Linked DNA regions of Neurospora crassa OR74A. The protein of the gene in region 1 interacts with the protein of each later gene in a pairwise test. Links are inferred from orthologs where the notes say so. Each region holds a gene or a part of one and is shown on either strand. Other genes may lie near its edges. The genes, in order: stk-24 and stk-58.

The links.
Region 2: the proteins of stk-24 (region 1) and stk-58 interact in binary tests that used the Saccharomyces cerevisiae proteins (3 or more experiments, as listed by UniProt). The link is inferred for Neurospora crassa OR74A from reciprocal best matches to the Saccharomyces cerevisiae genes PKP2 and PKP1.

The regions. Positions count from the first base shown.
Region 1 is NC_026505.1:2,430,736-2,446,755, forward strand, and holds stk-24 (pyruvate dehydrogenase kinase), read right to left. Parts: upstream 14,532-16,020; 5' UTR 14,243-14,531; coding exon 13,974-14,242; intron 13,895-13,973; coding exon 13,775-13,894; intron 13,696-13,774; coding exon 12,480-13,695; 3' UTR 12,178-12,479; downstream 1-12,177. Other genes in the region: NCU03792 (inositol polyphosphate phosphatase), read left to right, coding at 1-2,828, 2,888-2,996; NCU03793 (hypothetical protein), read left to right, coding at 4,400-5,460, 5,586-5,785, 5,850-6,067; NCU03794 (periodic tryptophan protein 2), read right to left, coding at 6,318-8,886, 8,954-9,084; NCU03795 (cell division control protein 12), read left to right, coding at 10,323-10,427, 10,499-10,661, 10,730-11,040, 11,098-11,676. UniProt on the Saccharomyces cerevisiae protein: Inhibits the mitochondrial pyruvate dehydrogenase complex by phosphorylation of the E1 alpha subunit (PDA1), thus contributing to the regulation of glucose metabolism.
Region 2 is NC_026504.1:3,681,416-3,696,969, reverse strand, and holds stk-58 (mitochondrial pyruvate dehydrogenase kinase), read left to right. Parts: upstream 1-5,297; 5' UTR 5,298-5,463; coding exon 5,464-5,675; intron 5,676-5,735; coding exon 5,736-7,008; 3' UTR 7,009-7,196; downstream 7,197-15,554. Other genes in the region: NCU04348 (ribosome biogenesis protein), read right to left, coding at 23-2,623, 2,690-2,760, 2,819-2,897; NCU16822 (hypothetical protein), read left to right, coding at 4,127-4,273, 4,345-4,454, 4,516-4,606; NCU04350 (chitin synthase 6), read right to left, coding at 7,644-9,102, 9,162-12,860, 12,919-13,220; NCU04351 (hypothetical protein), read left to right, coding at 14,413-14,453, 14,891-15,013, 15,373-15,493. UniProt on the Saccharomyces cerevisiae protein: Inhibits the mitochondrial pyruvate dehydrogenase complex by phosphorylation of the E1 alpha subunit (PDA1), thus contributing to the regulation of glucose metabolism. Also involved in telomere maintenance.

The DNA.
Region 1 (16,020 bases):
TCGGTCCAGATCGAGAGAAGCCAAGCATTGGATATCAAGACTCGAACCCCAGAAAGAATCTCGCCTTTCAGCAGTCCGCCTAGTAGCAATGGCACACCTGACGAAGATAGCTCCCCGCCGATGCTACCTGCGCGACCGAGAGCGCAACAACAGAGGGAACCGAATCCGGAGGGACTTCAGAGGTCGCGGACCTTTCACGTGGGTTTTGACCCACCACCCCTTCATCCTTCAGCAGCACGGCAAAGGCGGGGCAGGGAAGAGGAAATGGGCAGTACTAGGGGCCCGGTAACGCGACATCATACAGGCGGGAACCGACCGCCAGCTCTCCCAGCTCGCCCGCACAGCATCATAGAGACAAGCCGTACACTCAATGGGATGATGATGGCGCCGCCACCGCGCCCTCCAAAGCCGGGTGTTAATGCGAACTTGGATCCAAACCCTCCCGGCAGTATATCGCAGAAACGGATAGTGTCGACACCAAATCAGTATCACCCTTCAGTTCCGTCCAGAACTCACGTTAGGTCCATGACTGTGGATAGGACATCGAACCGCGTTCCTAACGAATTCCGCGCGCCACCAACCCCGATCAGCGCTGCTACTCACGATCGCATTCCCGAACGCATCCCCGAAGTGGTCCCGGTCACTTCATCCAGAACAGCCAACACCGGGCCAACCATTACAATGGCATATCCTGACGCAACAAACACGAACCGGAGCAAACCTTACATCAGCAAGGGCGTTCATGAGATTTACACAAAGTACGACACTCGAATGCTCGATGTGTGCGGCGAGCTCGTATGCACGACTGGTGGCTTTACACGCGTGTGGAGTTTACTTGATGGCGAACTGGTTATGAGCCTGTCCATGGGTGAAGGGCAAAAGGGAACCGCGGTCATGTTCAAACCAGGGGCGCACGTCGACGATGAAGGCACAAAGGTGTGGATCGGCAACAACTCTGGAGAGTTGCTGGAGGCCGATATTGGCACGCAGAGAATCACGGACAGTCTACCGAATGCGCATGGCCGATATGAGATAATTAGGATATACAGGCATTTTAACGAAGTATGGACATTGGACGACAGCGGAGCCCTCAATGTCTGGGGCCCAGACGAGAGCCACACCCCGACCCTCTCCAACGGGCCCAGCCAGTCGTTCCGAGTACCTAGGGGTCACACTTTCTCGATGGTAGTGGAAGACGAGCTATGGTACGCGACAGGCAAGGATATTCGGGTCTTCAAACCCACTGTGGACGGGAAGACACAGTTTCAGGTTCTTTTGAGGGCCCTATGTCAGCAAGATGCTGGCGAAGTGATATCCGGAGCAGTGCTTGCATCTGATCCGGACATGGTTTACTTCGGCCATAGTGACGGAAAAGTCAGCGTCTACTCCAGGAAAGACTACACATGTCAGTGTATAATGAATGTCAGCCAGTTCAAGATCAACTCACTTGCCGCAGCCGGTTCGTATCTCTGGGCTGGATACAACAATGGCAAGGTAGCTGTTTACGACGTGACACAAACCCCATGGGCTGTCAAGAAGGAATGGGTAGCCCACGAAAATCCCGTCATCAAGTTGATCGCTGATCGCTCGAGCTCTTACAAGCTTGACCGGTATCAGGTTGTCTCTCTTGGAGCAGATAACATGGTACGAACTTGGGACGCGCTGTTGCAAGAGGACTGGCTTGAGGGCGAAATGAAGAGGAAAGACGTGGAATACTGCGAGTTCCAGAATCTCAAGGTGTTGATTATGACATGGAACGCGGGAGCTTCAACTCCTCACAGTCTTCGATATTCTGATTCGGATGCCAATTTCTTCAGGGATCTTCTACAGACCGCCGACTCCCCCGACATCATCATTTTTGGATTCCAGGAACTGGTGGATCTCGAGGACAAGAAAGCCACAGCAAAGCGATTCCTGAAGCCGAAGAAGAAGGAAGGGTCCGATCAAGAGCGGATGAGCCACCAATATCGCGACTGGCGTGATTTCCTGATTCGCAGTCTGGATGATTATATGCAGGGCGATTTGTATCATCTGCTTCACACCTCTCCCCTGGTTGGCCTCTTTACTTGTATCTTTGTCAAGGCAGACTTACGTGGACGCATCAGCAATCTCAGCAGCAACGAGGTCAAGCGCGGCCTCGGTGGTCTACACGGCAACAAGGGCGCCATTGTGGTGCGCTTCCTGGTTGACGACACTTCGCTCTGTTTCATCAACTGCCATCTGGCTGCGGGTCAATCAGGCGCCAACCAGCGGCATAACGACGTAGCCGCGATCCTGGATGCGTCTGCCTTCCCATCCGAGCGCGACCCCGCCGTGCGTATCGATAGCTACGTCGGCGGTGGTGACGGCACCATGATCCTCGACCACGAACTATGCGTGCTCAACGGCGATCTCAATTACCGAATCGACACCATGAGCCGTGACACGGTAGTAACGGCAGTCAAGCAGGGCAACTTGACAAAACTGCTCGAGCGTGACCAGCTGCTTGTTGCCAAGAGGAGAAACCCCGGGTTCCGGCTGAGAGCTTTTGATGAGCTTCCGATCACGTTCGCGCCAACGTACAAATACGATGTTGGAACGGATAATTACGACACAAGTGAGAAGAAGCGTAGCCCAGCCTGGTGCGACAGACTCTTATACCGCGGCAGGGGCAGGATAGAACAGTTGGACTACAGGAGACACGAGGTACGGGTGTCGGACCACAGGCCGGTCAGCGGCAGGTTCAGGTTCTTGGTGAAGAGGATTGATCCTAGGAGGAGAGCCCAAGCTTGGATGGAGTGCCAGCAGCTGTGGGAAGACTTGAGGGCTAAGGAGGCGTATGCTGAGAAGTGAGTCCACCCCTTTAAATGTTGATGCGAGAACAAACATGCTAACACGTCGAAAACAGATACTACTACCTTACCCAAGTCATTGGGTACGATCATGACACTTCTGAGCGATTGATCACGGAACAGGCCTCAAGAAAGCAGTTGAACCGCAGCCCAAGTCGACGTTAGGCGTAGAAGAATTACCAATATAATCGAAAAGCAGGAAACCACTCAACTGCGCCATCACCGAGTGACTTTTATTTTCTTATAGAGAAAGGATGAACAAGTCTATTACTTATCTACAGCATACCGCATATACATATACACTCAGCTGGAAAGAGAGAAAGGAAGAAGTAGAAACATACAATGGCTGAAAACGGGGCCTCTGGTTAGACAGGATACAGGAGCGTTGGGGAATGGAGCAACTGATGGATGAAAGGATGGATCGATGGTTTTACTACCCTTTTCTAGGTAGTTAGGAACAGCGCATATTGCTTTTTTGTCTTTTTCCACGATTTTGAGACTTATTAGCTTTTTGGTAAAGCGTGGAAGCGGTGCACTTTTCCTGTTGACACTGCTTCGCGTCTCGTCTTGTATGATGGGCAGCTCTGGCCATGAACTTATGCTTGATGTTGAATGTGTCATGGAGATAGATAGTGTCTGGGACTGTACAGGAGAGCACTTGGAATCAATATCGACGGAAAGCACGGAAGCGAAGGGAGCAATGAAATGAAAGGTAAAGAGAAGGCAGTATCACATAGAACAGTAAACCTAATGTTATTAGAATGTACATTTATCAAGTCCTCAACCGTTAGACACTATTATTTTCCAGATAATCTGACGAGCTCGCCTAAAAGTGTAGGGTGCGGATAAGGCCGGTGGTTACAAATGTTTTGGTAGAGGTAGTTGATCTGTGTGGACGACTGAAAGGGGGTCAATGACGTAGCCGTCTTACTACACGCGCCCAATACCACTTTACACTTCAGTGCCGATTTGTTTGTTAGCTCAAGACCTGGGATCAACTCCTGTGGGTGTGTACATATTCCACTAAATCGTTCCGTTTCATAATGAAGCCGTGATCTTACCTTGTACATGCCATTCTTCTCTGCAATATATTATATTCAATCTTGTCACTGCCTCTTTCAATCGTTGAGGTTTGGGGCAATACGGGATAGATTTCGTCTAGTGTAATAGTAGGAGTACCAAGCTAACAAACAAACCAGCATTAGACTGTGCTTCATCTCAACAACGCATCAGTCAGAGTTCAATTCGATTTGTAAGAGTAGCAGAGGCCTACTACGCACTTGCGTAGGACGGAAAACAGTTACCTAAGAGTTGGCTTTCGAGTGCGGAGATAAGCGGCATTCGGACTTTGGAATACCTTGACGTGCGAACACCACAGCAACCGGGCTTCGTGATACTCCATCAAGTGAACAACACACCATTACTCTTGGCTTCTATAATCAACCTCTTCTCCGACGATAACCTGATCTATATCGTATACAGTTCAACTATATTTATTCCACGAACCTCTCCTAGGCCTTCTAACTCCCTTAGCCCACGGCCCGTTGCCTCTACACAAATCAACGTGAATGCGACCTTTCACTCCCGCCGGCACGAAGACATTCCTCCTTCGCCAGGCCAACATCATCTCTCCCATACCACCAAGGACCATCATCACCACAACTCGACGACGTCTTCACCTCACAACCATCAACAAGATGTCCGCCGAAGCAACCCCCCACCGCATCAACATCACCCCCTCCAACATCGGCCTCTGGTCCAAGTCCCCCACCATTCACTCTCAACCCCCCACCGCCTACACGCTCCTCTCCGACCTCCTCCAAGCCGACATGCACGACCACCACGTCTTTTTCAACAAAGACGGCTTCCACAACCACATCCCTCACCACCTCCTCGCTCTCTACGGGACCTCTGCCCCCTCTGAAGCGCTGCAGAAAGCCTACGACGTTAACGCTTCCTACCAACGCCCTACGTTGCCAGAACACCAGGAAGTCGTGTCCGACTTGATCCAGAACTGGCGGGACGACGCGGCCAAGTACCTGGGCAAAGAGGAGCACTACCCTGATTTCCTGGCCTTTTTCAAGCGGGAGATGGATTCCCGCGGCGAGGGAAAGTATGAGCAAGTGGTGAATGAGTATTTGTTCGCGGGCACGCCCGAGGCGGATAACTTGTTGGTGAGGCTGTACAGCGGGTTCTTGCATCCGCTGATCCAGCTCATGTACGGGCTGGAATGGAAGCAGCCGGCGATCGTGGCGGAGGGGTTGGCGCAGGCGGCTGTGCATGGGGATGAGATTGGGGGGTATCTCCTGGGAGCTGAGCAGGCCGCAAAAGCTAGCAGCAAACCGGATGACGGTATGGGGAGGGTGGTGGAGGACTTGTTGGAAAGGGGAGTGAGAGGAAACAGAAAATTGGCGGAAGCGGCGAGGATGAGTGATGCGAATAAAGTCAGGGATGGAGTGTTGAAGAGGGCCAAAGAGGAGGCGATCCAGCTGGCGGCCAAGGTGAAGGTGGGAAAGGAAGAGTTGCAGGAGAGGACGGCGGAGATGTATGATTCCGCCGTGTTTATGGCTAGTGCGGCGGCGTTGGTGAAGAGGAATACGAAGTTGCCGAGGTTTGATTTCTTCTTGATGTGAGTTTCCTCGTCCGGTTTTGGTGTTTCTGGTCACGTACCGCTGCCCCCCCTTGAATTCAAGAAGGGGTAGGCAAGGAGTTGGACGGGAAGATTGATACTGACTGACGAACGACTTTCTATAGGCACCATGTCACATCAGCACCGTTTTTCACGACAGTCAACGCACAAGATTGGATATCACTTGACACCAAGGTCCGTCTTCTCGAGTGGAAGATCAGGATGGATTTGGTTCAGTACGCGGCGCGTGGAGCGCCGGAGTTGTCGCTTGATGCTATTACTTCTTATCAGCCTAAGGAGAAGAAGACAAGTGGGACTCCTGAAGGTGAGTTGATGATTACCTCGCTTCTGTCGGCCTTGAACCGCTACTTATACTGATGATTTTCAAGAAATCATTTCCAACCTGCATTTCTTTGAGGACGATGGTCATAGCATCAAGCTTGCCCGAGCTGCACGTATTTGCCAGCTCTATTATCAAACAAGAGATGACGATTACTGGAACAAGGTCTACCACCTGATTGTCGACTCGGTCCTCGCACCAGGACCAAACTGGGTACGTAGCTGTGGGTTCGATGAGGCATGGGAGGATATTCCCAATGTCGAGTAAAAGGCATCTAGCAATCCACAAATGTTGGACTAAGGGGGTATGGCATTGCTTTCACACAGTTTCGCATGGCGTTGTAGTTGTATCCCAAAACCCCTATTTTCTCTATTGCCATGAATTGGTATCAAAATCATCTGTACAAGTTATAAACTAGAATGCCGGTTGACAAACATTTTCCGTATCAGCGCCTATCCTATGTGTGGTACCCTTCCTTACCGTTACAAAAATCCTATAGTACTCTAAATCCTAGGACCTATACCAAACCGATCCACTCGTCTTCGCTGGCGTTCCCCTCATCCTGCTGCATGACATCGTTCAAGCTCATACCGCCAGCGCCCGGCTGCTCATCCGAGCCGGTGGTAGCCCACTCAAGCGCCAAGGTCTTGGTGGTATTAGTCTCCTTAGCAGCGCTCGCCTGACCGAGGAGGTAGTCAACCATGTAGACGTTTTCATCGGCCAACTTCCTGATCTCATCCCTCATCTTGGAAACAGCCCTTGCGACAACACGAAGCTCAACATCGACCTTGCCGCGGTTGGCAGACAACCACGCGCCGTGCTTGTCGACCAGAGCCTTGATCCAAAGAAGACAGAACTCAACGTGAGGGCTCTGCTCGGTCTGCGCGGCAACGTACCGCAGCAGCCTGGCAACGTACACGTTGGGAAACTGCTCGACCACCAGAGGGATGTCGGTGTAAGGGATGGCCTGGAAGACACGCTGGATCAGACCGGCCTCGTTCAAGCGGAAAGCCATGACGAGAGCCTTGAGGTAGTCCTTCTCCTTCTCGAGCACGGCCAGGGTAGAGGTGGGGGTGATCTCCATGTTGAGGTCAAAGGGATCGAACTGGATGGTGGTGTCCAGGCTGTAGATCAAAAGACCTTCTGTGGAGGCGGCGCAGAAAGCACTTCCGTTCGGGGAGAAGGCAACGCCGTTTACTCTCACTTCGGGATTCTTCCTCCGTGCGGAGGGGTCGCCGCGCTTGGAGCCTGGGAGTGACCTGTCTATCCTGTCCTCGAAATCGGAGGCCTCGCCTTGCTCGTCCAGGAGACCCTGGGGTCCAGCCTCGGTGAGAAGCTTGCTGTTGAGGAACTCTTGAGTGCCTTGAATTGAAAGATTGACGCTCACGGTGTACTTCTTCAGGAGAACCATGGTGGTGACGGAGTACAAGCAAATATACTTGCTGTTTCCGCCGGCCAAAAGGCACGATCCGTCTGTGCTGTATCTGATGGTGTTGAAAGCCTTGGTACCGGCAACATTGGCCGCAGTCCTGCGATCACCGATCTTCCGACCGCCGGAGACATCCCTGCGTCCATCAAGACCAGCTTGCTGCTCAGCTTCCGAGACCGACCAGAACGACAGGTTGCCGTCGAGAGTGGAGATGGCAATCTGGAGAGAATCTGGCCTAAAGGCAATGTCGAGAACATCCGAGTTGAGCTGGAGAGGCTCGCTTGTTTGTGTGCGGTTGAAGATGGACCAGATACGGGCAGTGCGGTCCCAACTACCACTCACAAGAAGACCGCCGTTAGGCGCAAAGGCCAAGGATGACACAGGGCCCTCGTGTCCCGAAAGACGATCTAGGAGCTGGCCAGTCTGGACAGACCAAATATGAATGTCGAAAGAGTCAACGGAGCCAGCCGCCACGATTTCGCCACTAGGATCAACTGCCATGCAAGAGAAAGATAGCCTTTCTGGTGCTGTAAAGGTCCTGAAGTTTCTGTATCTGATCAAGTCCCAAGCCCTGATGGAACCGTCCAAACTCGAGGTAAACAGGACATTGCCCTTCTTGGAGAACTCGCAAGCAGTGATGCCGCTCGTGTGCTCTGTGAAGGTAACAATGCAGAATCCCGATTCCGTATCCCACACCTTAATCTTTCCATCATCGGCGACTGTGACAATCCGCTGACCGTCCGGAGAGTAAACGAGGGAGTTCATCGAGTCGAAATGGCCCTGCTGCTTGAGAATGTAAGACTCGGACTGCCACTCCCACACCAAAAGCTGACCAAGCTTGGATGCGCCAAACGCCAGCCACTCGCCGCTCTTGTTGATCGTCACAAAGTCAATTTCGTTCTGGGAGATGCTGAGAGTGTGGATCATGTTGAAGTCGGGCATTTCGTAGAGGCCAAAGATACCGTTCGAGAAACCGGCAACCAGCAAGTTCGATTCGGGATGGAAAGCGGCGCATCGTACGGTGGCGCTGTTCTGCATGAAATAGTGCTTGTTGACTATCCTCCAGGCCAGGTCATCGTCGTCCACCATATCCTCGTCCTGTCCAGGCTTCGCAACGTATTGCCAGTCGAATACGGCGCCGTCCTTGCTGACTGTGTAAATCGTCTCTTGATCCTTGGAAAACCACGCGCCCACGACACCCTGCCTGTGACCGGACAGAACTGTAGGTGTGAACCCCTCCTCTTGATCAACACTCCATATCCTTGCTGTGAGATCCTTGGAAGATGTGAGGAAGAATCGCGAGTCGTGGGACCACTCGATGTGACGGACATCGTCGAAGTGTTGGACGTGGGTATGGTGCTTGACGAAGGGCGCAAACTCGAGCTCGCCGTCGGCGTTGGCGTCGGGTGTTGAGGGAACGTGCCAAACCTCGATTTTCCTGCCGAGTCCAACAATGAAGTGGCGCCCCGATGGCGAAAAGGAGAGAGCCGTTACTGGAGCCTTGAAGGAGAAGTGATATAGTACTACGCGCCGGGGCACGTTGGTGAGAATAGCTTGGCCATCTTCGTCTATGGAGAGTAGGAGGTTGCCCTGGGGCGTGAGACCGATACGCGCAATGTTCTTTCGGTGGGAGAAGGGAAGGGTATATGATTTGTTACTGCGACCGTGTTAGCCAGCTTACAAGCCATGCGCCAGGCAGGTGTGTAGGGAATCTTGAGACGTACTCGACAAGGTTAAAGACTGTCACCCTGTTGCCAACGGGCGAGAAGAGATGGGTACCGTCCGGGCTGAACAAGAGGTTGCCCTGGCAGTAGACTGTGCCCAGTAGATTAGAAAACTTGAAGTCGGTCTTCATTTTCAAACACTATTCCATGCCTCGACTGTCAACGTTGGAGATGGAGCAGAACTGGGATAGTATCTGGGGATTCGATTATGTACAGGAACTGGAGGACTCTTTCGAGTCTGTATAGGTAAGTGGAACAGAAGTTCAGTTACAGGCTGCTGCTGTTGCGCCTAGACCGCCCGTACGTTCAATGGCGATTCTGCCAGCCAAAAATTTCATAAACTTTTTGGCGGGGAATGGAGTCGGGTTAGCTCCTCGCTTTGGCACCAGCTGGCAAAAGACTTGGCGTATCTGGCAGCCTCACCGACCGCAGCGAGACCAACCACTGCACGGCACCACCAAGCACGGTCACCAAGCACAGTGCAAGGCTGGCAGAGCTGGCAATCAAAGGGTCAAAGGGTCGACCAAGTTTCCATGGCAATGAATGGCTGATCACCGCCAATGGCGCTAGCAGGGAAGGCACGCATCGATTAAATGCTCGGCGAGGGTACCTGGCAAGCGCGTTTCAGTGGAGAGCTGCCAGCGTAGGTCCGTCTCTGGGGACCTGGAATTGGGGAAGTGTGGGAAGCAAGTGGAAAAGGGGAGGGTCCACTCATTTCCCTGCCGCGCAGCCAGTCAAGAGCGGCCTTGTGTGGTGGCAGCTCTACACTACTGCAGAATGCCGGGCTCGAAAGGTGCCATTGGATTATATGGATCGTGTACCGTGCGCCTTCTCGGCATCATCACAGACGGCTGCCGTGGCCCCGCCCAGGCACCTCATCTGGAGGATGGAATCGAATGCTGCTTGCTCGCTGCTTGCTCCGTCCGTCTGCTGCCGCGGCCCTGCAGTGCCTGGAGTGCTTGGGGTTCAGTCAGTGTGGGCTAGGTTTGGCCTGGCGCTCCCGTCCCCGTCGCTGGTGCTCTCTCCTGCGTGGGTGTGTGGTGCTGGGTTGGGCCAGATGAATGTGGTGTGGAAATTTGAACAAGTAAATTCCCCTGAACGAAAGCACAGAGCTCCACGACGGGTCCCCCGTCCACTCACCACTGCAGTTCCATCCCCCGTCTGCCTCTCGCTCCCACCCGTCCACTGTCAACACCAACCTAATTTCGATTCCCATTCACGACCACCACCATACCCGTACACCACGCATCCCGCCTGACGCTCTTTTTCTCCAATTGCCGGTGCTTCTTCTCGCCGTTACAGCAACGGGATCGTGACTTAATCCTCTACCCATAATTATCTCCCAGTTTCGTGTTTCGCCCAGCTGAAGATGGCCCCTGCCACTACCGAGAGCGCCTCACCGATTGGCATTGCCAATCTGCCCAACCAGCGACACAAGATTGTTGCTAAGAGAGGCGCTGCTTTTACTATTATGGTGCGCTTCACTGTCCAAAGCTTGCCGAACCTCGCGCTTGTAAAACCAATGCTGACGGCGTGGGTGGATAGGTTGCTGGCGAGTCCGGCCTCGGCAAGACCACCTTCATCAACACGCTGTTCTCCACGACCATCAAGAACTATGCCGACCACAAGAGGCGCCACCAGAAGCAGGTCGACAAGACCGTCGAGATCGAAATCACAAAGGCTGAGCTCGAGGAGAAGTTCTTCAAGGGTACGACAGCACATCACGCAGGGGGACCTTGGTGTCTTGTAGGAGAGCTCTGTCTAACCAGCTTATAGTTCGCCTGACTGTTATCGACACCCCCGGCTTTGGTGACTACGTCAACAACCGCGACTCGTGGATGCCCATTATCGAATTCCTCGACGACCAGCACGAGTCCTACATGCTCCAGGAGCAACAACCCCGCCGTCAGGACAAGATTGATCTCCGTGTCCACGCCTGCTTGTACTTCATCCGCCCCACCGGCCACACGCTTAAGCCCCTAGATATCGAGGTCATGAAGAGACTCTGCTCTCGCGTCAACCTCATTCCCGTTATTGCCAAGGCCGACACTCTCAGCCCTGCCGACCTGGCGAGGTTCAAGTCCAGGGTAGGTTTTTCCCTTTACTTGAAGATACCACCCATCATCGCTAACCATGACTTCTAGATCCGTGCCGTCATCGAAGCTCAGGGTATCAAGATCTACCAGCCACCTATTGAGGAGGATGACGAGGCTGCCGCACAACACGCACGCAGCTTGATGGCCGCTATGCCCTTTGCCGTTATCGGCTCCGAGAAGGATGTTAAGACCAGCGATGGACGTATTGTCAAGGGCCGTCAATACTCGTGGGGTGTGGCCGAAGTCGAGAACGAGGAACACTGCGACTTCAAGAAGCTCCGTTCGATTCTTATCCGCACCCACATGTTGGACCTTATCCACACAACAGAGGAGCTGCACTACGAGGCTTACCGCGCCCAGCAAATGGAGACCCGCAAGTTCGGCGAGGCTCGCCCAAGGAAGCTCGACAACCCCAAGTTCAAGGAGGAGGAGGAGGCTCTCCGCAAGCGCTTCACAGAACAGGTCAAGATCGAGGAGCAGCGTTTCAGGCAGTGGGAGCAAAAGCTCATTGCCGAGCGCGACCGTCTCAACAAGGACCTTGAACAGACCCACGCCCAGATCAAGTCCCTCGAGATGGAACTCGAGTCTCTGCAGGGAAATGCCGTTCGCAGCCACGGTCGCCGCTAAGCGGTTATCACGGCTTTTGCGGTATCCTCTACAAGGGTGACCACCGTCTCCCGTTCTATCGAGCATTAATGTACCTGCGCCTCGATTTTTTTCGACATGTTTACGTGAAGACGAACTGGGCGACTTACATACCTTGAAAGACGATGTTCATGGATATGCTGCGGTTTGGTAGGATGGCGCGGTCATCGATCGAGGCTTGTTATAGAAGGGGAGGCTCCTCATGTTTTTATACACTTGCCCGGGTTTCCCTCATCTTCTCACAGACCCTTTCTGCATAGCCCGAATCGCGCAGGGAGGCCCAGGAGATGGGGATGAAAAGTTACAGATATTTGGAAGATTTCGAGCGGCAACTGACATTTTACCACACCCTTTACACTTAACTTTACCCCATCACGCCAGTTTTTTTTTTTCTGTCCGTCTTAGCTACGATGTAATTCTGATAGCAACCCCCCTTTCAATGATACCAAATAATGAGAAAGGCTACCACTTTTGAGTACAAGCTTTGACTTAATGACTGTAGTGCTTCGAATTGAGAGTTGACAAAGGTCTCTAAGCTAAGCGCAAACCTGTGCTACTAAAGTGAGTTGCTATTTCCATATCATGCCCAGTTAACAATATTGCGTTGAAAATACAAGAGGTTGCTCCGTACACCAAGCCCGACTTAGCACACGCGTGAATAATCTATCCGTTACACCAGGTCACTGTGATGCCCTTCCTATGCTCTTCTGAACCGAACCATTACTGGGTATAATTCCTTTCTCCTCCCCTTCCACCCATCCCACTTACACTTTATTGGATATCCTCTAAACGGCATCCATCGTTGCCCGCGTCGTCAGCTGCTCATTCTTGTTCCCCAGCTTCGAGATCTGCAAGAACGCATCCACCCCATACCCTTCCAGACTGTGCAGCGCCAGGCTACCAGCCCAGTACTCGGCGTACACCCTGCTCAAAGGCAACCCCATGCCCAGGCGTAGGTTCGGCGGGCGGCTTGTCAGCGTCGCCAACGAATTGCAGTAACCCGGGTCGCCGGGGAAGTTGTTCCCGTTGTGAATGCCTTTGATCTGTTGTTTTTGTTGCTGTTGCTGTTGCTGTTGCTGTTCCTGCCGCTGTTGTTGCAATTTGCCCACCGTTGTCCCAGCTTCGCTAGAGGTACTTCCCTCGACCTTGAGCTCCTGCATCGTCGCGGCCATCTTGGGCACCTGTTCCAGATTCGTCAGCAGCTGCTGACTCGCAGGCCCTTTGCTAAAGGACCACAAGTACGGCAGGACGTCCTGCTGGATGCCGCCACCTTGGTCCGAGATGCGAATGATGACGTGTTGCTGGCTTTCGCAGATTGTCACCTCGATCGCAGGCGGCGGGCCAATCTCGTCGGTCTTCCCTCCCGCTGCCGCTACCTTCTCCTTATAACGCTGGTGTTTCTCCACTACGGCCTGCACCGAGTTACGGAGTAGCTCGCCGATGATGTACTCGAGATGGCTGAGGATATAAGGGAAATTGGCCTCCAGGTGTCCGTCGATTTTGATCTCGGGGATCGCCACGTCGGGCCCGTATGCGTGCTGCGCAATGTCGCGGATGGCTTGGCCGCATCTTTCGACGACATCCTTGGCGACGCACTTCAAAAAGACTTCGCCGATGAACTCGGATTCCGAAAGCTTGGCGCCGGGGGAGAACCAAGGCGCGTGGAAGGTGTCGGTTAGAGCCAAGTGCTGCTCGGCGATGACGCGGCGCGAGATGCGAGAACGGAGAATTGTGTTCATGAACTTGTCTAGCTCTTTGGCGTCCATGAGTCCGGCTGACTCCAGTATGCCCATGGCTAGCTTGGGGATCACGGTCAGGTGCGCTTTGAGGTTGGAGCGGATGGTGGCGCATAGGGCGTCGTTGTCTTCGAGCGTTTTGATTTCGGGGACCTTGCGGAAGGTGTCGAAAGCCGAGTAGTAGAGGTCGTAGACTTCGTTCATGTGTGGGTTGGTTACTACTACGTAGGGGAGCCGTTGCATGTCGCGGATGCGGTGGGCAATTCTGTCCGAGTTGTCGCATACATAGTCAGATGCTGTAACTCTGGTAGTCTCGATGTTGGAGAGTCTAGTTTAGAGCTTACCTCGTCGGAAGCTCTGTTCGCACATAATTGGCAGAGCTAATCAACCTCGACTCGGTCAGGGAACGGCCAAAGACCATCAATTGGCGCAAACTGATCGGTCGAGCTTCCTTTGCGACCCATCTGTAAGTGAAGAGATCACATTGTAAGCGTGGGCTCCTGGTGCATGTGATGTCAAGGCAAGGACAGGAAATCCGCATACTCGTCTAGAACAGACACCGGGCGCCATTTCGGACTGTGCTGGCTATGTGTACATCGAGTCTGAGGGGTTAGAGATATCGTTCGTGCCCTTGGTGTTGCTGATAGTCTTGGAGTTGCAACTGAAGTAGAGCTCGTGCAGCTCCGAGTCATCGCCCACTTGAGGAGGAGCTGTCCTCGGCTTGTTCCTCTTCGCGCCACCATGCCCAGGTCTCCCGCCGTGCACATCAGCCGGACGGGCGCTTTCGCATTTTGCAGCAAGAAGCACGGCATACCGTCGGTGCCATGCGAAACAGAGTAATTTTGGTGAAGAGAGGGAAAAGGAACTTGGAGTCGGGTTGTCGCAAGATTATCAGGCTAGAGGTCGTGTTGTGTCAGGGTTGGAGAGCGATAATCGGAGCAAGATGCACCTCTGACACTACACTAGACGTAGTGTAGAATCCCTGGGCCCCGCTGGTTATCACGAGCTTGCTTCAGTTGGTTTAGTGTTTACGTTAGGGGGACGCGGGAAGAGGGTCAGGGGCTTGGAATTTTTTTAGGTTGCCGTGGCCCAAAACCCGACATATCTATCATATGCTTTTGGTTTACGGAGCCACGATAAATTGGCGTCTATTTGTGTCAAAATACTTGGGTATGTTAAGCCAGATTTTCCCGTTGTTAGGGCAGTCACCTCGTTCAATATGTCCAAGTACTGGATGGACGTCCTCGCACTGCATGCATGACGGATGCGAAGGGAACAGTTGCTCCTACTCGACCCCACACTCTGGGGCTTTTACCGACTGGACTCAGTTGATCGGACGTCATTCGAACGACGGATGTGAAAAAAACAGCCGGTGAATCCAGTCAACTGAAATGGAGGTGCTGATGACCTCAAAATCCAAGACACATGGAAGTGTTGTTGCCCAAATGTTAAGCTCCGAATTATATGGTAGATGGGCAGTTAGGTCTATTATCACAGCTCTGGCGCGAATTTGAAGAGCTTCAGGTTGTTGTGTTCTTGGCCATCTTGAAACACCGACAACAAATTCGTCCTGAACAATCAACCGGCAATACTTCGTTACGTCACTAATGAATCGTCTAAGTACTGTGTAAATAAAAACGCAAAATGCGGGCAAATGATGGTTTGTTAAGTCGAGAAAGCGCATGCAAACAGATCGATGCTTTGACTGAGGGTAGGTCGCGATACTCCTGTCACCATAACACCTGGATATCCTCTGGCCCAGTCTCAGTCAAAAGTGTTGATGGGAACCCATTGAACACATCAGCTGTTAGCTGGAGGAAGAGATCCAGGCCACGAACCAGGTCGGGTATCTCTCACGTCATTCAAGTTTGGGAGCTTCGAGTTTGTTAAGAGCGGCGGCTAGTGAACATGTTATGCACTAACAGATTGGCTGGCTGCTTAGCACAGCTTGCGATAGGCTGTGAGGGCTTGGCTAACAAGTGGCCTGACCTGATACTAACATCACAGAAACTCGCCTACGCAAGCGCGGGGTGATCCAGCCCGGACCAACAGCCACAATAATCCCAATAAATGTCGAACAGAGGAAGTTGCTGTGACCCAAGGAGTCTGGCCACGATACCTTCGGAATTCAACACTATAGATTCAAAGTATCGGTTGTGCCTGGTAAATTGTCAAGAGGAAGTACTCTATAAGAGATCACAGATACCGCGGTTTTGCCAGGATGCTTAACTCCATGTCTAGAGGTACCTCTACGTATACTGCATCTGACTGAAACGAAATGTAGACTGGAGGTCTGTAGGTCAAGAACATCATGCCCGTTACCTTGCGGGTAGTAACATTCCATATGCTTTGCTGCCACTCAACAACTGAGCGCGCGGCCGGGCAACCGCGGCGGGCGATGGAACCTATAGAAAACCATTTCGACAAGACAAGAAAGAAAGAAACCGTAACCTCCAATCACTACACTTCCACCTTCTTCACCTTGTTCCTCACTGCCACTCCCGTCACTGCATGACCTCCGGCTGCATCCACCAACGCAAGGCCAAGACTCACCATTACAGTCCACCACAGTCTAGCATCACCTAGGATC
Region 2 (15,554 bases), on another chromosome or scaffold:
AATAGGGCGGAGGGTAACATACCAGCTTGAGCTTCTTGACGATCTCGGTAGACTCGTCTACGCTCAATACTGTACCGGTAGCCGCAATACGGAACCCGGGGTTGGCGGAAGAGAAGGACTGGAAACATGTGAAACCCGTATTGGGGGCACACAGGGGGCCGTAGAAGGTACCGAAGCAGTGCATGTGCTCCGGAGTATACTTCAGCATCCTGTTTCTCGTCCGAGAATCAGAGATGGAGTAGATGGGAAGAGACTGGAATCGGCGCCAGCCGAGGGAGAAGATGAGGGGATCTCCCGTCTTGAGAATCTTCTTGTGCCAACGGTGCTTCTTGATTCTAACTTGCACAAAGCCGAATCTGTCCTCCGTGGCCGAAAGACCTCCGACAACGATCGGCATCCGTGGCTTAAAGTTCTTGACGAACTCTGCTGGGACACCCTCGATGACCATCCTGGCGTACTTGCCGGCCTTGTAGCCTTCGACAGCGATCCTTTGGCTTTCATCAAGGTTCTCGTATTCCGCCTTGTTGATGTCGAGCTGCTTCTGGATCATGGCCTTTTGAGCATCATACCAGTCGTCCTCTCCAAACTCGTCATCATTGCCACCTTCTCGCCTGGCAATCGCCTTGTCGTTCTTGAAACCTTCACGATCTTCCTCTTCGAAGCGAAGCTTGAGCTCCTCCTTTCGGCGGGCGTTCTTCTCACGCTCGGCTTCAAGGCTTTCTGCTGGCTGCTCCTCTCCTTCCTCCTCTTCTTCTTCTTCATCCTCGTCGTCAGCGCCGTGCTTCTCCCCTGTCTCGAGATCCTCAAAGGCACCGTCACCTTCATCATCGTCGTCCTCGTCATCAAGACCCTCGAAATCCGAACCATCTTCGCCCTCGCCCTCAGCGTCGTCAAGTAGGTTGGCGGTGGCGAACTTGTTTCGGAGAGCCTCGACAGCGTCCTTGTCAGACCACTTGGCTTCTAGTTGTTCGTAGTCGAACTTGGGAATCATGCGATCCTCCCAAGAGTCCTCCTTGTCCTCCTTGCCAGTCCTCCGGAAGAAGGTTTCGTCGTCCTCTTCGATATTCTCTTCGATCTCCTCCTCGTCGTCTTGACCGGCCCATTTCTTGATGGCTTCTGTGGGGGCCATCGACTCGTCGTACATGTACCTCGCCAAGTCGACAGCGCGGAAGGGTTTCCTCCTTCCGTGTATCTGACTTGCGCGCTCCATTATGTTGTCCTTCCACTTGAGCTCAGGATCCTCCTCGTCGTCCTCGTCATCGTCAAAGTCGGATCCTTGGTCTTCATCGCCGGATATCGAACCAAGGTCGGAGTCACTGTCGGCAAAGGCGATGTCCTCTTCTTGGTCGTCGTCGGTCTGTTTCCTGAACATCTTGCCCAGCTTCATCTCGTTGAACTCGGACTCGACATCGGATCCATCCTCCATCTCATCTTCCTCTCCGCTTTCGAAGCCTTCGTCCTCTGGCGGTTCACCACTCTCACCATCGGCAAGTCTGGCGGTTCTTCGGCTCTTGCGGCCAGTGTTTCCGACATCCTCGTCCTCGACAGGGAGCTGGTTGATCTTTTGTCCGCTCGCGAACAGCTTGACACCCTCGTCCGTTTGACCAAGGAGACGCCTCTCGTTCTGCAGGTCGATGATGAGCTGTTCTCCTTCGCCGCGCTCAATGCCCACAGCATCCTTGTCAAATGTGAAGCCGTTCTCCCTAGTGATAACGATGTGATCGCCAGTAATTTTCAAGCCGCTGCGGTCCGCCATGGGCGCCCAGAGCTTTTTGTCCTTCTCGTCGAGTCGCCTTCTGCCAGTCTTGCCACTGGCCTTGGCCAGCGCTTGTTCCATAGCGGGAGTCGGGCAAGGATCCGGCAATTGTTCCATCTCTTTGATTGTAAAGTCGCCCAAACCAGCAATATGTACCCTTTGGCCCTCGGCGGAAAAGTTTGTACCACGGAGGTAACCGGAGAGTTCAATCGTTCGGTCGCATTTCTCGTCTTCTTCAATCTGGGTGGGGTGGGTGACATCGCGGTAGTTGTCGATGATGGTGTAAGGGTGGGAGTTGCGCCAAACGAGCGGGCGGGGGTTCTTCATGACGGACAAGAAGCGGGAGAGGTTGTGGATTTCGCGATCGGGGTAACGGCCGTTCAGGACACCGGAAAGGTAGAAAAGGTGGGCACCCTGGTAGAGTTCGCTCCAAAGTCTGTGCTTTAACCTCTTCTTTGCCTCCTTTAGTGCTTGGGGCTTCCTGAACAGGTCGAGATGGGTGAGGATGCCAAAGACGTTGCCGGGCATACCCGTGGCGGCAAGAACGTTAAGGAACTCCATAGTCTCCATTTCGAAGCCGAAGTTTCCATCGATCATGAGAAGGACAATGTCGGCGACCTTTGCAATATCGACCATGGCCTCGAGTTCGTTGGCGCATTCGATGAAGGTCAATCTCTGCTTCTTGGAGGTGACGACCGTGATAGGTCCCACCGGATCTTGGATGGTTTCCTTTGCATATCGTCGGATGAAAGACTTGAGAAGGGTGGTCTTTCCTACGCCAGGGGGGCCTACGATGGCGACGAGTCTTGGGGGTGGTTCATCGGGGAGACGGTCGACGGCGGGGACATGAAGACGCTTCTCTTTGATCTGCGGAACAAGACCAGTTAATTATAAGAAGTCATTGAAGGATGGAGCGAGGGAATGTCTTCTTACATCGTGGGATCTGGCGGCTTGTCTGGCGAGTTTACCAGGATTGGAGAAGGCAAAGGCCTTGGGGTTCTTTTCTGCAGGGACGGTCAGCTGTGGATAGTAACGATAAAAGAAACAATTGAATACACATACCACCTGTATGCTTGGAGGCCCCCTTCTCCTTGGACTTCTTGGAAGCCCGATGGGGTTTGTGGGCTTGGACGTCGGCCATGATTACGGCTGGTGTCCGTGAACTTTTTGCAAGTTCAGTAGTATAGATGGACACGCGGTCGCGAAAACAGGTGCAAGTGGAAATGCGACGGGACTCGCTCCCAATTCAACTGCTGCCAAAAAGCTGCTGTCCAAATTTTTTGGATAGTCGGTTTTCTGATGGAACGCCAAGACGTTTATCGATAAGCGATAAGATACCTGAATAGTGGGACCTCTTTCCGCGGCAGGCGACGGGACCTATCCCCGGCAGCACCCGCTACTAAGCAGTGGCAGCATGCGGGGAGTTGGAGACCCTGACAGGCAGTCCCGACCTTCAAGTCTTGGAACCTTGAACAACAGACGAACCCAACGTATAGTCCCGTTTCTTATCTTCAACCAACTACTGGGTGAGCTGTGTCTTCGGAGTAACTATTTCCAAAGGTTTATACGAAGATATTCCGTTGGGTGGTTGAGATATCTTGTGCTGTCTTGAGCATGACCAACCTAACTACCTCTATTGTACCAAGCCCTCCCTCACTGGTGGAGACTACATACCACGCTATGTAAATGCATTGGATTGTTCAGGGACCTCCCAACAAACGGTTGAAGAAGAGTCGAGACCATGAAAGAGCTATCATAGTTGATAACTTGCGGCCTCGACATAGGAACGTCGAATGGGCCCGCAAAGTCAAACAGCCATGGGCCATGGCAGCCCTTCTTGCATAACACACCATTTTGAGGGTTACATACGTAATTGTCGCGGGAAGGAGGGTTTCCGATTTACACACATGAGGAGGGTATGGCGTATAGGCTAGGCTCAGAGTTACAACAGATAGGTAACAACATCCAAGATCCTGAGTAGCAAGATGGTCGGAAGATGACTGGATCCATCCTCCCACACCACTCCTAGTGTCTCAGCCCGCGCCTAAGCGCTCGTTAGGTGGTTGTGTGCAAGGCTGTCTTGTTGGGCGCTGAGATGAAGGATTGTCTCTGTCATCCCCACGCCTGGCAGCCAAAAGAGTGTCACAAGTCACAAAACGACCTGCGGTAGGCGCAGCAAGTCTGGTCCAAGTGGATATGACGTATCATCCGCTCCAGAGAATGCTAATGTCCCTGGTGCCGCGTCACTTGTGGCTCCTGACGGCGTGGCAGGAAGACCAATCTAGCATGATTGCCGCTTATCTGGCACATGTGCATCTGTGGTGTAGGTAGTTCGAGTCCACTTGTGCATGTCCCTTGATCACGTATAAGATGCTCCTTCGTCCGCTCCTCGAGACGCAGTACCGACTTTCCAAGTTCACGACCAACCACTACACTCTGTTTCAACATTTCCATACAGCAACACCAACTTTTTCACCAAACAACCCTCCCACCACCGCAAAGATGCCTTCTTACATTGTAAGCATGCCGCACTCGCGCCTCACACTACCCATAAGACTCTTATTGACCTCAGCTGTTCACTATGTCAGGTTACCCTCAAGGACACCGCTACCGATGAGGAGATCGCCAAGACCAAGGAGGACGTCAAGGCGCAGGGCGGCAAGATTGGCCACGAGTACACCCTCATCAAGGCCTTCCAGTATGACAGCCTCCGTCTTCAGAATTAGACACAAGAGCTGACCCTCTCTTTTTAACTGCAGGGCCATCTATCCCGAGGGCGCTGTTTTCACCCTTGAGAACCACGAGCACGTCAAGGGCGTCGAGGCCGACCAGGAGGTCAGGACCCAGTAAAAGAGCGCATCCGATTTCAACAGCATGTTTGAAGCATTAGGCGTCAAGGACAACGACATTGGGAATGATATGACATTAGCCCGGGAAGGACAGGTATAGGATGAGACTACAGTCGCCTGCTCAGAGAGAGAAGCATGATCTGGTGATGGATCTCATGCGGGGCACCAATCGCGGGGTAACAGCGAGACGGAGGTTACCTAGTCTCAGCTACATAGTGTTGACAGCGACAGGGGGCCCGGGGCTTACCTGCCGGTTTCGCTGTCGTTCCAGTGACACTCTCCACTGGAATAGATAAAGGCGGCCATTTGATGATTGTTATGAATTCAAAGAAAGATTTCCAATTTGCACATGTTGACTTGAATCGTGTCACTGACTGTGCCTAGGGATGTGTTCAACCAGGAAGTCCAGACTTGCAATGGGGATGCGTCATGCTGGATGGAGGAGAGAGCAACCGACCCGACAGCACCGAGGAGACAGAACGGGAAGCACAGCCAAAGCACAAGCACCTAAGTGGAAGTGGAAGCCCTCCTCAGCCCAGCCCAGTCCTCAAGGTGCTCCAACCTACTCCAAGCGGCCTGTGGGCAGCCCCTTATCGCCTAGCATATCGATTGGACCACGATAACCCTGTTTCAGCGTGGACTGCTACCTATGTCATCCCATCGCGGCGCTGATCGCCGTCCCGCGCGCACACACACACACACACACACACACACACACCACCGAATGACAACGAACTGAAGCAACACGGCACTCTCCACCGGACCCTACCTACGTACTTGTTGCACCAAAATTGGAAGTACGTTGTAGTCCCAAATTCAGTCTCGTAACAGAAACCCGCGACCGCACAACATGCCGACATGAAATCCATCGCGAGGCCGTCGAGGTTTCCCAGCCCTCTCAAGGCCGCCTTGAGCTCCTCAAACTACCCGAGACTGTATTCCATCCTGAACCAGAATATCGCGAGACCCCATTACGACCGCCCGCTCAGCAGTCGCCATGAGCTAGAGGACAAAGTCCCATGGCTGGCTAACCAGCCTCTACATCAGCTGAGTCTGGCCGATCTTGTCAAGTAAACAACCAATTCCACTTTATCCAAGGCGTTGATCTAACAATGGCTTCATTCTCCCAGACACGGCCGCCCCCCTCTCTCCGCCGAAGCCCTCCTCTCCTCGGCGCGCTTCACCCTCTCCCTGCTCCCCATCCGCCTCGCCCACCGCATCCAAGCCCTGCGCAACCTGCCCTACATCGTCGTCTCTAACCCCAACATCTCGCGCATCTACAACAACTACCAGCACTCGCTCTCGACTTTGCTCCCCTGGCAAGGCAAGACCATCAGCTCGCTCGACGACGAGATCAAATTCACCCAGGTCCTCGCCGAGCTCGTCCAAACCCACACCGACACCATCCCCATCCTGGCCAAGGGCTTCATCGAATGCCGCAAGTACATCTCCCCTAGCGAAGTGACCCGCTTCCTCGATGAACACCTGCGCGCGCGCATCGGCACCCGCCTGGTAGCCGAGCAGCACATAGCTCTGCACTACAGCTCTACGCCGCACTTCGACCCGGAAGCCTCGCCCACGCTCTGTCCGGAGCCCAAGACGCACCCATCCTACATTGGCGTCATCGACACGACACTGCGGCCCGCCAGCGTGATCGACTCATGCGGTGACTTTGTCGCCGACATCTGCGAGCTCAACTACGGCGTGCGCCCCGAGTGGGTGGTGGACGGCGAGCCGGACGCCACCTTTGCGTTTGTGCCGATGCACCTCGAATACATTGTCACGGAACTTTTGAAGAACGCGTTCAGAGCGACCGTGGAAAACGGCATGAGCCGCGAGCCGGTCGTGGTAACCATTGCGCCCGAGCCGGCGAGCAGTTCCGCCAGCGCGGCGACACCCGGCGTTTACTCGGATTATTGCCCTCCCAATTCTTCCCAAAAGAACTCTTCTTCATCTTCTTCTTCGGGTTCGAATTCGATTTCTTCGAGTCAGCAAGGAAAAGCAGCAGCGCAACAACAACAACAGCAACAACAAAAACAAGCGCAGCATGGCATCATCCCGCTACATGACCGTGCGCCCGGGGTGACGATCAGGATCAGAGATAGGGGAGGAGGCATTAACCCGGCGGTGTTGCCGAACATTTGGAGATACTCGTTCACAACGTTCAACGACGCGGATGATGATGATCATCATGAGTCGCCGGGGGCGTGGGGGGAGGAGGCCATGGGGCTGATTTCGAATACGGGCGTGGGCGGGAGCACGATTGCCGGGCTGGGGTATGGGTTGCCGCTGAGTAGGGCGTATGCTGAGTACTTTGGGGGAGGGATTGCGGTGCAGAGTTTGTACGGATGGGGCACGGATGTGTACTTGAGGTTGAAAGGGGTGGGTAAGATCGAATATTGAGTGTACATACTACATATGTCGGGTTCGGTCGGTCGGTCGGCCGGTCGGTACGCTGTTATAGATCGCATGTCAAGTTGCCCTGCCGGTTATGAGTATATAGTATTTGGCTGGGAGATTTGAAAGAGGGTCCATAGAAATATGACTTCAACGCGTCAAATCTGGAGAATAGACTGTTGTGTTTATTCCTGCTCATGGTTCAAAGCGAATCGACCAGTGAGATGGACGTGGCTTGAAACGCGGTTCGATGTTACATACTTGTTTGATTTCGAACTCAACATTTACATCCAAGATTCATATTCCTCATCGTGCCTTTCCTTAATGACGCCAACCAAACATCAACCATTAACCAACAAATTAGAAACTCAGTCTCGTCGTGGGTGTAAATGCAAAGAGATACATTGCTATGATATGTTATAACTATGCAATAAAACTTGAAGCCAAGAAATTACCAAGTATTCCCAAAAAAGATAGTGTCTATGCTACTATATCCATTAATATTTTTTTTGTCTCAAACCACTAAACAAACGATAAAATGATCCAAAAACCCATCCAATCCATGTCACTTCAATACCCGGCATCCATTATGACATGAAATCAGGTTCCATCCTTCATGTATCAGATCACATGTTTCCACTTCACATGTTCGCCAACTCATTATCAATCTGCCTGTCCATAAACGTCCTCCTCTCACCCACCAACTCCGTCTGCAACCGCTGCTCCACCAGCGCCCGCACCTGCTTCTTCGTCACCGTGTCCAAATCAACCTCGCGGAGCACGCCCTGGATGGCCTCGATGATCATCTGGTCATCGGGGCCGGGAGTGCTGCGCTGAAAGTCAAACGACCGCGAACTTTCCGAGTGGCTCATGCCGGGACGGTGTCCAGGAATACCCAGGCTCATGCCCGTGGCCGTGGACAGGCGGGCGTTGACCATGCCGCCGGCGCCGAGAGCGGGAGGCGTATTGGTCATGGAGCGCATAGCACCCTGGCTGGGGCCGCGGCTATGACCGCCAGGGAAGTCCTGGTACGGGCTGGCGCGGCGCTGCATCTCGACCATGGTGCCCATCGAGGCCATGCTCTGACGGTTCATGAGGTTGTTCTGCTCGGTGAAAGGGGAGGCGCCGACAAAGGTGCTGGCATGGGTCATGGCGCCGCTACCGCCGCCGTTGGGCGGGAAACCAGGGCTGTGAGGGGGCATGTAAGCTCCGGCACCGCGACCGCCGAACCCAGTAAGAACGGACGGTTGGCGGACCGAAGAGTAGACTGACTTCATGTCATCGACCTCGTAGGTCTCCTCGTACATACCGCCCAGATGCTCGTCCATACCCTTCTCAAGAGGGCCACCGCGACGACCGGGAAGGTTGTTGGCGAGGGCATATTCGTCCCAGCGCTGGAGAGGAATGGCACGGGGGTTGAAGCCCTCCTCGTCGACGGCGACAACTTGCTTTTTACCGCTTTCACCAATGACAACGCGCGTATTACCCCAGGCGAAGTCATCCTGATGCCAGAACGAGTAGATGGGCAGGATGAAGGAGTAAATGGGGAAGGCGAGGAGGTAGATGATCATCCAGCCCACGTGCTGCCATTGGCGCTTGAGGATGAAGATGAGCGCCTGGAGACCGTACACGGCCGCAATCATGATGATCGAAAGAAGAGGGAACGGTGCAGTGTGGGAGGAGGCCGTGTAAATGAGATAAACGATGTAGACGCAAGTGGCGGGAAGAATAATAGTACCGAAGAGATCGATGAAGACGACAATGCGCATTGAGAAGAAACAGAAACCGCACATTTCGTCGAGGAAGATCAATTCAGCCAAGTTGTGGATGGTTGAGTTGATCCAACGACGACGCTGAGACAGCAGAACGCTCCAAGTCTCGGGGGCGGCCGTTTGGCAGTAGGCATCGGGAATGAACTTGTAAGACATGTATGGGAAGTGCTTGGTCATGAGCGTGGTGAGGAAACGATCCTCACCAAGCGAGAGCAGGTTCTTCTTGTGGAGGGTGTCAACATAGCAATCGCTGTACTCGCGGATAATATCATCCGAGATAATGAGCGGCTTTCCCTTGTCAACAGTACGCAAGCGGTACATGGTGAAACTATTGAATTGTCAGTATTGCCTACAACAATCAGTGAGCGGAGGAACGGCAAAACTTACCAACCGGGCAAACAGGTAACGCTGCCAAAGAGAGACTCGAAAGCCTTCGCTAAGTGATGAGAAATATAGTACTCGTAAACCTGGATCATGGTCCACCACGAAAGATCCTCATTCTGCAAACTGGTTTCACCGCAAATACCGGCAATCTTGGCGTTATTGGCGCAGGCTGCCACTAGGCGGTTGAGAGAATCTTCGCGAACGCAGGTATCGGCATCGACCATGAGGAGGTATTCGTAAAGTTCGGGATCCACACCGATGATGTTGTTGATCTGGTGGAAGATTTCCAGTTCCAAGGGATTCATGGGCGCACGGTGATGGACGCGGTTGAGGAAGCTCATGAGCAGAATCTGCGAGTCACGCTTACCACGGTTACCGGGCTTCGTCTTGGACTGCTCAGACTCCTTGCCGACCTTGACAACCACGATATAAGGTACCACGTTCCCTTCAAATTCATACAATCCAGAGTAGACCTTGCCGTAGTTGAGCTGTTCGGCTCCAGTACCGACGGATTTGAAGGCCAAGGCAGGTGGGTCAACCTTGGGGTCAACACCGAGAATATCGAGGACGATCTTGGGAGTAGGACGGTCGTTGCCAGCACCGACGATGACACCGTCGCAAATAACAAAGATCAGCTTCCGCTTGTTATCGTACTGGAGGGCTGTCAAAGAGTCCAGGGCTTTCCTCAGCGAGTCTTCACCCTCGGTATAAGCGGGCACCTGGCAGATGACAAACTTGTCCTGGGGAGCAGGGCGTCTCTTGGATCCAAATTGAAGAGCCGACACGAACTTGACCACGATGATACTGCAGATAATAACGGAAAATGCAAGCAAGATGTAGTTGTTGACTTGACACCTGGCCGAATAACGGAAATCGGGCTTGCCAACGTAGAACGCGTTCTTGACACAGTTAAGACTGTTCATAACACTATTATACTGGGTCGTGTTGCTACTGGCGCGATCAATCAGGTCGTTAATCTGCTCGGTCAAGTCCTGGCCGGGGTTGTTCTTGACCATGTTGGTGATCTTGGCGTCGATGAACGTGTATGTAGCATCGTTATTCATACGCTTGGCGGTGTACATGTAATCGGTCATGTCGTAAACGAGATCCTCGTAGATGAACCACGGGTGATTCCAATCCAGGCCTTCCTGCTTAATCTTCTTGGAATCCCAAACCACGTCGCCATGGTAGTACTCCTTGATGGCAGGCAAGAATCTCTCGGTATACCAGTATCTTTCAGAGAGCTTGCTCCGAATATTAGGCTGCGTGGGGCCGGAGATATGCTGGGCCACAACATATTCAGGGGTAGTGTTGAATTGCAACGTAGTTGAATCCGCGATGCCGAGGCCGGGGCAGGTAATGTAGAGAGGCGCGACAAAGTAAGCGGAGAGGTCTTGGCCAGCAAGCGGCATCATTACATCCGACGTGGTGTCAATGTTGTTGTCGCTGTGCTGCAATCTCCAGAATTTGGTGATGTCGTAAACCTTGCCGTCAATGCTGACCCAGAAGTCATCCCCTGCCGCATGATTCTGAATTTCTTCCAGAGTCCAGGCTTTGTCGAAATTGGGGCAAAGAAGACGACCGAAGAAGATAATCCAGAAAACGATGATGGCGTTGAGAAGAACGATAATGAGGCAGAGAACAAACTTCTCACGCCATGCCATACGCACGTCAGGCCGCTTCATCCGACCGACGAACTTGAGTAATGGAGATGGAATCCACCACGTCAAAGCCCAAACAGTAAAGACCCAAATTTTCCTTTGGGAGGAGATAGGCCGCTCCTCGATCTTCTTGCCCTCAGCAAGGTCGGGCTCTAATTCCGAAACCAGTTGGCCTTCAGCGTTGTAGAAGACCTGTCCCTTGTATTGATCGCCCTTGGGACCAAGACCGTAATCACCGCTACGCATGCCAGTCATGTTCGTAGGGGCAACGGAAGGAGCACGCGCGGGGCTCGGGTTGAGGTTGTTTTGGCTAAGATTACCACCGAGGGCGAGGTGATCGTAGCTCCCGTTGGAGGTTCCATCGGCAAAGGGAGAACGCATGTGGTCAGCATGTACCTGAGGCGGGAAGAAGCCGCTTCCGTTGTGAGAATAGCCCGAGCCCATGGCCCCTGGGGCCATCAGGTTGCGCATGCTGTTGAGCCTCTCAGCTTCCATGGGCTTCAGGTCCAACATACTTTCGGCTTCCCACCACGCGCTCTCCCTCATCCATACCCTCTCGTTGCCCACGACAACCTCGCCGTTGCTCCAGCCCCGCTCCAGGATCCAGCTCTCGATACCGTCACGGCCATCCATACAGCCCAGAGGCCGATATCGCTGAGTAAATTCATGGTGATCAAAATCGGCGGTGTAGTCGATGTGCTTATTGCGTCTGTTGGCCCACTCGGACAGCCTCCAGGTGCGGAGCTGGCGAGAAACAGCTCCAGCTGACCAGGCTGAGTTGACGGCAGGAAGGGCAGCGAGACTAGAAGGTGAGTCGTCTGTGGGGTGGATGCAGAGGTGATACCAAGCACGACTGCGGTTCAAAAGATCCGCAACATCCACACGGCCAGTGCGGCCGAGGTTGATACCCTCGGTGGGAACCGGGAGCAAGAGCTTCCTCAAGAAACCCTCATCTTCTGATGCGAAGGCAGTCTTTTCCAAGATTTCCTCGCGCTTCTCAATCAGGCGTTGCCTTTCCCGGCCAACCGAGCCAACCATAACACCCAGATCAGGACCACACTCTGCAACAGCACTCTGCATTTCCCGCACAACCGAGCTGGAAACAGGAACCACCTCGACGCCGTCAGCCTTCATTTCCGAGTTGATACCCTGAGTGTCGTCGAAGATGCCCCGCATGGCAATAGCCTTGCCCAAGTTTTGGTCGGGAATCTCGAGGACAGTAAGGCAGACAGTATCGCCACTGTCCTCGTTGGAAGTGGGCGCACCACTCCGGGAGGCACCGTCGCTAGAATCATCGCCACTTCTGGATTTACCCATCTGCACGGCAATAGCATCGTTGGCCTTCTTGATGACCCAATCGACCAAAGCCTCATAGAGTCCTCCGATCAATGTCGCCCGGTCGTCGGTGCTGAGTTGCCTGGCAAGAATTTCGGGTTCGATACCAAGAAGTCCACCGACATCCTCGCAGATTTCCTCCAAAACTTCTTGGTCAACATTGTAATCGAGTGTGTTGCCGAGCTTGAGAAGGCCGGCCAAGATCGAGATGAGGTTGCGGTGCGAAGAGCCCTTGATGCCGATGTCCTTGAGGGCAGACCTGAAGTCGTCGGCAGCGGCACCATCATCGGCGGTAGGAAGATAGGATGGGGGATCGTAGGTGCCGGACCGGGCGAGAAGACTGTATTGAGACGCGGCCTTGAGCCCAAGGAACTCTCTTTCGGCGGGGGTAGAGGCCGTGGTGAGCAGGTAGTAAAAGACATCAAAGGCCCTGTATCCAGGCTCAGAGGGGACACCCAACAAGCCTTTGTCGGTGTCGATACCACCTTGTGTGAGCGAGAGTGAGGCGGCAGTAAGGTTGCCTGTAAGGTTGAGGGTCAAGGTGACGGCCAAGCCGGTCTGTCTCGGAGTGGAGGGGTTGTAAGGGGTTACACAGCGAAGGAACGGTTCAATAGCATCGAGTGCTTTGTACACCGAGGCAGGGATCTCAAGGGGAATGGTGGACAGGAAGGGTCGCAAGAGCGAAGGAGTCGAGTTGTGCAGTGATCTAGCAGTCATTCACCTGTTAGTACCAGACAAAGTGTGTAGGTCAAGCAAGGACATACCCAAGAATGATACATCCATCCTCAGCACGGCGACGAGCGTGCTCCCATGCCCTCAAAGCCAGAGCGCCATCAACGGTTCCACCAACGTGGCCATCGGGACCAGCTTGGGAGGCCGTAAGCCATGTGTTGACGACGAGACTTGTGCCGGCGTCCAGACGGTATGGTTGTGAAGAGAGGTAGATGTTGTGTACGGAGTTGAGAAGAGTCGTGGTAGAGACCTGGGATGGCTGTTGCTGACCAGGACCCCGTCCGCCCATACCGGCGTCCGAGGCCATGGAATACATTGACATGCGGTTCGCCATGGTGTGTTGTTGGGATGACGGCAAAGTGTCAGATGGATTCCGGGAGCCCCTTGGGGGGAACAAGAGCGTAGACTTGGCCCACGCCTTTCCTCACCGACAAGGACAGCGATGCGAACGAGCGGTGGTGGTGGTCGAAGTGTGTGTATATAGTATCGATAATCGCCGAGTAATTGTGCGATTGAGGCTTCGCGTGTGGTTGTTTCAGCTCTGGTCAGTAGTGGATGCTTCGATAGTCGATATCCTCTGCCAAATGCTTCAACCGCGTTCTTTGGTACCGTCTGCTTGGTAGTGGTAGTGGTAATGGTAGTAGTGTGTGGTATTATTAGATGAAGATGGGACCAAAACGAGAGACGACACCGATCGCGCAAAAAGATCGGACGAAGAGAACCACCAAAGCGAGTGAAGGCGGCCAACGTCAACGACAAGCAATGCAAAGCGGTGCGGTGACAGTGACAGACAGCAGGTGAAGTCGAGTTCCTGCGACGGGACGGATGCAAAGGAAACGGATTTCGAAAAATCCGGAATGTTGCAGATTAGCTGCCCGTCAGCTAGCAGCACCAGCAGCAGGGGCGGGCAGCAAGCAGCAGGCGGCGGTAGGTAAGGTACACAGGGGGGGGGGGGAAGCGAGTGACCGAAGGGGGGTGTACACTACCTAGGTAGGTACGCTAGTGTAAAGCGAGAATGGGGGAGAAGATGGGCAAGAGCGGACAGAGACAAGGAAGCGACAACCCAGCGAACGAAGCGAGTGGATGATGGAGTGAAGTTTTGGTGGAAGATGATGGGGTTGGCGGGCGGGTGGAAGGAAACAGCGACAATTCTCACAGGCTATGGTAGTAGTGGCAGGGAGGCTCAGCTTGCTCGGCTCGAACCACACTAGCACACCTATCAATTGGAACGGTCTGAAAGGTCTGAAGGGGGGGTCAACCACCAGACTCGGCGATCCAGTGTGGAAATGCATGGAATGAATGGATTTCCATTTGCTACCTGTTGCTGCTGGGGCTGCTCGTAGGTGACCCCATTACCCACTGGAGAAGCCTGGAAAAAAATCACCACATTCGCAGGGGATCGCGAAGAGAGCAACAACAGAACTCCGTGGGGGGGTGGAGAATTGTGTCCGTACGGCGGTTCACAACACTTGCTGTAAAAATACACCAGTCCCAATTCACTCACAAGTGGAGGCAGGATGCCCATGATGTACGGAGCGCCCGCGACAATCACCCCGGCCCGGTTTGGGTACGTCGATCTGGAACGCAATTACCAGCGAGATTGTCCCCTGTCCGCCAAGAGGGAAGGGGGCTTACTGATGAAAAATGCAATTATGCGATCTTTGATTGTTAAACTTCAGTTGTCCCTATTTCCGCTTTTGCCGACCGCCTTCCTGCGGTGCCACAATGAGCTTCTCGTTCTTGGTGTCATCAGTCCATGTGTGCATTTCAAAACATCCTGCTACGTTTCCAGAGCCTTGCTCCTTTGTGAGGCGCTGTTGCACTGCTTCAGTTTGGTTGTATCGGGTGTATCAGGCCTGTTTATGGAACTCCGTCGTTCCCTTTTCCAGTGATTTTCATGCCAGGATCCGCGACCATTTTTCGCCTCAATGATTGGATCCCCCCCCGTTGAGCCTTGAGGCCCTGTACCGCATCCACCTGATTTTTTACTTTGTGCTGAAGAAGGGAATGCTGGTCGAGTGTGAGATGGCCAGACTCGATCGACCCCAAAGCCTGCTTGGAAAGACGATGGTCAAATGAGATTCTCGCCTTTGGATTCTCGTTCGCTTACAGCGGCGCACTGCGTTGGTACGGGTCTCCCGTTCGGCGGAGTGCCGGACGGCCACGGGATGCTGGATGACAATCGGATACGAGCCCTCACAACACCAACTACGTGCATAACTGCAAGACTTGGGCCCCACCGTCTGCGGTCATTGCGTGTGGATAGATGATGGTGCACATCCTCAAGCAAAGGCCGAGCTGAGAACCTCGCATTGGGAATGGCATTATTCGCTGCAAATTGACGTCTAAAAGTAGGGTCCACGCCCATGACTGGCTAGAGAATTCAAGAAAAGCTTATTCACAGCCGCCCTACCACGAGCACGAGCACGAGCCCGCCCGGGCGTTATACACTAATTGTTGCATGTTACATAAACTAGACTACATAGGCACTGGACGTACGGATACATAGTTCCATTGGGTCTCGAGAGTCTGAACACGAAAAAGGGCTGGAGGGGTATCTCGTGTCTTGTCCGAACATCAGCGACATTTTACAAACATTCCCGTCCCGTGCGTTCGACTTTGTTCAACCACCTCAGCGCCCGACGCAGCGGTCCGCGAATGTGTGCAA